Xenopus tropicalis: one gene and its partner. The protein of the gene in region 1 binds, or shares a complex with, the protein of each later gene. Links are inferred from orthologs where the notes say so. Each region holds a gene or a part of one and is shown on either strand. Other genes may lie near its edges.

Region 1 (3,658 bases):
CATCACCCCACAATGGAATGGTATGTCGTCTTTCTGCTTCATGGGGCAGCATGACCAAAATTTCTGCACACATTCTGTTAAAGACTGAGTTCCCACACTTGCTTATTGCCTGGATTTAGCAGTTAATCAGGTCACCTTGCCCTATACAGGTCTCTGGGGTGTGTATTGAGAAAGCACAGTGGCTTTTTCCTCAGTGCTACAGCTTAGAAGGTATTTCAAGGTCATTTTGGTTGATTTTAATGGGCGACAATAATGTGCAGCAATGATCTAAAAGCTAAGGATCACTGGGAGCCATTTCCCAGTGATAGATATTCCATAAGTGTGGACACTCACAATCTACAGAACATAGCCTGGTTGTGCAAAATCTTTCTTTAAATAAGAAGGGAGTTGATAAAGTAAAAAAATTCCTTTCAGTATACGCAACACCCTTTCACTTAATGTCCATTAAATCACAGAACACTAGTCTCAAAATTTAGTCAGCTGAGCCATTAAATCCGAAAGGTTATTTCTATCAACATAACGAAAAGTTTTATTTACAGTAGGTTATGAAACTATCTTTAGAACTTGGGTAGTGTCATAAAGAGTTTTGCCTAAATCGGATAATAAGATAATTGTTATGCGTTTTGTTACAATTAATTGGTTTTTGCTTTATCATCTAATTAATATTGGTCACCTTAAATCACAGAGCATCTTAAGTAATGCTGCCTTTTGTACACTGGATGGCACTACAATACCACAGTTTAAAGGACAAGGAAAGTCAAAATCTATTAAAGGAACAGTAACACCAAAAAATAAAAGTGTATAAAAGTAACTAAAATATAATGTGCTGCTGCCCTGCACTGGTAAAAGTTGTGTGTTTACAGAAAGTCTACTATAATTTATATAAATAAGCTGCTGTGTAGCCATGGAGGCAGCCATTCAAAGGAGAAAAGGCACAGGCACATAGCAGATAACAGATAAAACACTATTGTATTCTACAGAACTTATCTGTTATCTGCTATGTAACCTGTGCCTTTTCTCCTTTTTTCCAGCTTGAATGGCTGCCCCCGTGGCTACACAGCAGCTTATTATATAAATTATAGTAGTGTTACTGTAGCAAACACACCAGTTTTACCAGTTCAGGGCAACAGTGCATTATATTTTTATTACTTTAAAGCGCTTTCATTTTTTTAGTGTTACTGTTCCTTTAAGCACACTATTAAATAGTACTACTATTGCTGTGTAGAAACGCTATATTTCTGGTTTGCCTAATAAAAGATTTACAGAGATACACGCACTAGAAACTGCATACTTGTTGCAGTGAACGGCGCTGCCATCTTGTCCAGCACATCTGTATGGGCTATTGCTGAAAAAGCACAGGCCCCCCCCCCTCTGATCCCCGCATCTGTCGGCTCACAAACCCATATTCCCCCCCCCGCTCTGATTCCCGCATCTGCGACTCACAACTCATCCCCCAACGCCGCCGCCACTCCCCCCCCCCCCGCTCTGATTCCAGCACCTGCCAGCTCGCAAAACAAGATTGTAAGCTCTTTTCTCTTCACCTCTTGTATCGGTTATTGATTGCTTTATGTTACTCTGTATGTCCAATGTATGAAACCCACTTATTGTACAGCGCTGTGTAATATGTTGGTGCTTTATAAATAAATGTTAATAATAATAATAAAACTGCCGCCACCCCCCGCACTCTGATCCCATCGCCTGCCGGCTCACAACTCACCGCCCCCACTGAGACATGCCCCCACCCCCACTCTGCTCTGATTCCAGCACCTGCCAGCTCGCAAAACAAGATTGTAAGCTCTTTTCTCTTCACCTCTTGTATCGGTTATTGATTGCTTTATGTTACTCTGTATGTCCAATGTATGAAACCCACTTATTGTACAGCGCTGTGTAATATGTTGGTGCTTTATAAATAAATGTTAATAATAATAATAAAACTGCCGCCACCCCCCGCACTCTGATCCCATCGCCTGCCGGCTCACAACTCACCGCCCCCACTGAGACATGCCCCCACCCCCACTCTGCTCTGATTTCAGCACCTGCCGGCTCGCAAACCACCGCCGCCGCCGCCACCCCCCCTTCCCCCCTGCTCGACGATTATAATATTTAGGGCAGCGGTACAAGCTGTTATCTAATGAGGGGACCCCGTTGGCTGTGAGTTAGTGACATTGGCGACAAACATACAAACATCCGTTGACCTTTTGCTCATGATTTCATTTAGGTGCCTGCAATTATTCTGACTTATGTAATGTTATACGGTGGGGGTGATAGTGACAGCTTGTCATGTAAGCAACAAATGGTCACGATAAGGCACTGAATTGGGCTCCCCGCACCTGCCGCCTCGCTTCTTGCTTCACCCTCCTGCCGGCTGTCCTCGTCTGCGTCGCCATAGCAACCAGACGCTCCTGCTGTGTGCGCATGTGCACGCTATGGATCTGGTCAAATTGTCAGTGCAGGAGCGTTGCATTATGGGAATCTTCTCTACCCTGCTCAGCGTTTTTTTTTCTTGTTTGGCTTCTGATCTTCTGAACAGGTGAAGTATGGGGAGACTTAAGGGCACTATTGAGACAACTGAAGGTATGCCTGCAACTTGAGATTAACTCTTTGATAGGAGAAGGAAAAGCTAATAGATTTCTGGAAACTGAAAATCTCTTTCATGGTGATATTTATCAGTAAAAGAAGGCAAAATGCAGCTGCCAAAGCAGAAAACAACAAAAAGAAATTTCTGAATGCATTGCCAAAAACATTCCCAAATATTTTAGTAAAATGTTCAGTCAAAGCTTCAAAGATAAATATTTTCCTGGTGAGGTTAAACCAACTTTAGATGTAAATTATTTGCCATAATACTGAAATGGTTCTTACATTTCTTTACCCCTAAATTCCAGATTTTAGTGAAAAAGTCACATCAACATATATACTTGCAATTATACTGTTCTACTTCACAACTCATTTATTTTACCTTGCCGTCTACTTTGTAGCAGTTTTCAGAATTGCACATTTTTATGAACTTCCCATCAATTCCCTGGAAAACGTACAAAAGGTCTCTCACTAAAGCTGTCTCTGTAATTTCAACAGACCCTAAAAAAAAGGGAAAAATAAATCCATATAAATTTGGGTTATTCCAGAAAAAATACATTTACTGTGAAAATAATGCAGAATATGACTAAAAGGTATGTGTCTCTAAAAATGATGTGAATATGGCTCTGGAATTATTTTAATCTGACTCTGGATATATCAAGTATTTTCTAGCATTTTTAGGGTGCACAATGATAGCTGCATGATTGCTACACACAGTTCTCTGTCTCACAGGAGAAAAAATCTAAATGATGTCCTCCCTTTTAAATATGTGGGCTGACAGTATTCCTGAAAAGAAAATAAGTTGCCCTAGTGGGGGGGGGGGGGGGGGGGGTTATTTGAAAGTGAAGACGTCCTTTATATACTTAAAATTTTGTCAGCTGCAAAAGGATGCAAAGTTTGTCTATCAAGCCTCAATTCTGTGCTGTGAAATAATAAAATAAATATTCCCTGCATTTTCTAAGCCTAAACCCCTAGCAGAACAGGCATGAAACCAGAGCTGCATTTCTATTCTCACCACTTGAGTCTCCTTCTCTTCTAGTCCTTGGCACATTTCGTGATACTGTATTGGGAAGGCCTTTGGTGG
Region 2 (3,658 bases), about 61 Mb from region 1:
GTTATATGAAGCCAGTAAAGGATTAGAAGGTGGGTGGAAATTAGGATTACAGAGGTTGTTTAGTGAGTAGAACTTCTTTGGTAGCAGTACAGGCATGAATCTCAATTGGAGCAAGTGAGGGCCTGTCCATGACCTTCTCAACTGTTTTTGGCTGATCTGGAGGCATCTTTAAAGGCATGTAAAGCCTACATTTGCCTACAAGGTATATCAGTTGGGCATGTCACCCCCACCATAATGGCATTATTTGTACTGCATATATCCCCCTCCATCACCATCACATTTTCCTAAAGCAAATAGCAGCTTTCACACGGTGGCCATTTTTCCTCTGATGCATAATCAGATACATTTATATCTGCAAACAGCATACACACACATACCCTTATTCAGCATTCAGCTGAGCTCAGGAGAGGAGGTTAGGAGAAAAAAAGAGAAGCAGACAGCTAGAGCTGAGTTTATATGGAAACCAGCAATGCCATCTCTTCACTGGCTGCTAGTCTGAAGGATGTGTTTAGTAATCTGAGTTTAGAACAACTGAGCATGCCCACAAGCCAATAGCCAAAGCAAATTCCTGATGGGAGGGGGCCCAAGTGGGTTTCAGGAGGAGAAGGAAATCTAAGTGATTAAGGGTATGTTGCAGCCTTCCTATTAACCTCTGGACAACCAGAGTGGCAGGTATTGAAAGATTTCAGAGGCTGTTCACTGATTACATTTTTGTGTGTGGGTTTTACATGCCCTTTAAAGGCAGCAAGTTGAAATAGTGTGCCAAAGTTGGATTAGCTGTGGGCCAGAGTAAGTGTAAGGGTACAGTTGAAGGGGAAAGCATGTGATAAACTGCAAATTTGAGAATGCTCAGGTTGTATGATAATTGCCTTATAAATAGGCACTAGGACACATGGTTAAGTGAGCAAAGGCAAGTGGACTAACACCAGGGGGTGTAAACAAAATAAAAAAAATCCAAACAAAACAGGGACATGAACATCCAGTTAGGATACCTTAATCTTCCCTAATAATAAAAGAGAATCTCTAAAACTATGTCAAAGCATATATATTTTTCCATAAGCAGGTTGTTCACAGGTGTGCATATTTACAAAAGGAACTTGAGCTACAGCCTGAGTTATTCCAAGGTTCCCATAGCAGGCTGCGTCAATAGGTGCAACAAATGTAGAGACACTTGCAAAAGACACAGTAATGCCATTTGAATAATGCAATCCCCACAATGAAATTTTGCACTTGCTTCAATTTTGTTGTATCAGATACTACTGTGGTTAAAGGAACAGTAACACTAAAAAATAAAAGAGCTTTAAAGTAATAAAAATATAATGTACTGTTGCCCTGCACTGGTAAAACTGGTGTGTTTGCTACAGTAACACTACTATAATTTATATAATAAGCTGCTGTGTAGCCACGGGGGCAGCCATTCAAGCTGGAAAAAAGGAGAAAGGCACAGGTTACATAGCAGATAACAGATAAGCTCTGTAGAATACAATAGTGTTTTATCTGTTATCTGCTATGTGCCTGTGCCTTTTCTCCTTTGAATGGCTGCCCCCATGGCTATATAGCACCTTATTTATATAAAATTATAGTAGACTTTCTGAAGTAAACACACAACTTTTACCAGTGCAGGGCAGCAGCACATTATATTTTAGTTACTTTTATACACTTTCATTTTTTGGTGTTACTGTTCCTTTAAGACAAGCCACAATGACATTGAAGTTGTGGGTAAAAAAATGGCAAATTGCAGCTAAAAATTGCACACTGCACTCACAGTCGTAAATGGGACTTTATATGTCAAATATGGTGACAAAATTGTCCACAGTGTACCGCAACTGAATTTTAATCCCACTTTACCTTCTGTAGATCAACTTTAAAACCATACCTAAAAAATGATTTTGAATGATGTTCATTATAAAAGTCCATTGCTTCAGTTCTGTAAAAAAGAATAAAGAGATGTTACAGCTGCATTTCTTTTCCTCTTTACCCCTGGCAAATTTTGTCTTATATTTTACATTAGGGGATACACTATACAGATGAATGAGTAAGATTTGGCACCCATGGCCAAATAACACATCTAAGCTAGTTTAAGTGAAATCAGCAAAGTAAAGAAAAGAAACTGTGTGTATGTAAGTACGTACGTACGTACGTACGTACGTACGTACGTACGTACGTACGTTATCCACGCCGTTATCTTTGAATCTTGGACAATTAAAGGGAGTGCGGACAGTGTGAGGTATTTTTATTTATATATATGTATAAACACACACACACAATTTATTCACTTTGTCCAGCCTTACCCTCTGTATTGTGTACTTTAACTTATGACAGTTTCTTTCAGCCCATTTCCAGTTCTAGGCAGCTAATATAATGGGGGTGGATTTGCAGAATTGATATGAACCACACTGAGAAATAACCGCAAGCTAATATAATTTACTAGAGCTTAATGACACCATTAAAGTAAAGCACATCAAAGAGAGGTATAAATGCTGATTAAGGTGGAAAAACAAACACTGGTATTTAACATTGTGGCTGATCTGATTTAAGAAAGTGGATAAAAAAATACTAATTTAACTTTATGAGACAAACAATAGGGCAATAGCTGTCATTCACTACCAGCTGAGGCTAATTTAATATGTACTGGTTTCTAACTAAAACTTTCCATGCCGCCTCTTGTCATGGGACACATCTACAGTGGTGCTGTCAAAGGGAGGCAGTGTTCTCAGATTCAGGTATTTCTCCATTGGTGGACATAGGCTGGCAGATACAACTGTCCTACCTACCTTTCTGATTTGAAAACATGGACATTTTAGAAAAAGACTTCCATAATTTACCCAAATCTGGTCCCCTCTGGGTGCTTCATTCTTCAGGTTAACTTTTAGTATGCTATAGAATGAACTGTTCTTAGCAACGTTTAAATCGGCCTTTGTTTTTTGGTTTTTTTTTATAGTTTTTAAATTATTTGCCTTCCTCTTCTGACTCAAGAAAGATGCTGAACAACAGGCTAAATAATTAAAAACCCACAAATAAAAAATGAAGACCAATTGTAAACTGTTTTGGAATAGCACTCTCTAGATCCTATTAAAAGTTAATTCAAGGCTGATGGCCCACAGAGTTAGTCGCCCGCAATAGATCTCTGCTACTGTGGCGACTACCTGCTCCGAAATGCCTTTCCACCAGCGACAACAGGAGTCTCCGCTGGAGAGGCCTACGCATTGCTTTGGCTTCCAAAGTTGCACAAAGTTTCCTCCTGCAGGCAACTTCACGCGACTCTGGAAAGCCGAAGCAATGCACTGGCCTTTCCACCGGCGACTTGTTCCGTGAACAACCCCTTTAACTAATTATTAACTTATTACCCATAATTTATAAAGTTCCAACATATTCATTTCAAAATATGCAAAGAAATTACAGCACAACTGCATCAATTTTATCATAATATTTACCTTAAGAGCAAAACCATTTTAGCCTTTGAGATTACAAACCCTGAGTCCAGTATGGCTTCAATAATTGAACCCATTTTTGTTACAGCATCTGGTTTTATCAAAGCTAATGTTCTGCAATAAAGAAAATATAAATATATTTTAGAATGCATTTGCTTTAGGTAAAACAATGTATTAGCATTTTCTATTTCTGCAAGCTTTTGAGAATTTATTACTGTAATCAGCTG

What was found.
Region 2: tubgcp3 (region 1) and nme7 share a complex: the UniProt entries of both Homo sapiens proteins name them as parts of the gamma-tubulin ring complex. The link is inferred for Xenopus tropicalis from reciprocal best matches to the Homo sapiens genes TUBGCP3 and NME7.

The regions. Positions count from the first base shown.
Region 1 is NC_030678.2:116,382,221-116,385,878, reverse strand, and holds part of tubgcp3 (gamma-tubulin complex component 3), read right to left. Parts: coding exon 3,590-3,658; intron 3,076-3,589; coding exon 2,957-3,075; intron 1-2,956. UniProt on the Homo sapiens protein: Component of the gamma-tubulin ring complex (gTuRC) which mediates microtubule nucleation.
Region 2 is NC_030678.2:55,292,763-55,296,420, forward strand, and holds part of nme7 (nucleoside diphosphate kinase 7), read right to left. Parts: intron 3,546-3,658; coding exon 3,435-3,545; intron 1,928-3,434; coding exon 1,877-1,927; intron 1-1,876. UniProt on the Homo sapiens protein: Possesses an intrinsic kinase activity. Displays 3'-5' exonuclease activity with a preference for single-stranded DNA. Does not seem to have nucleoside diphosphate kinase activity.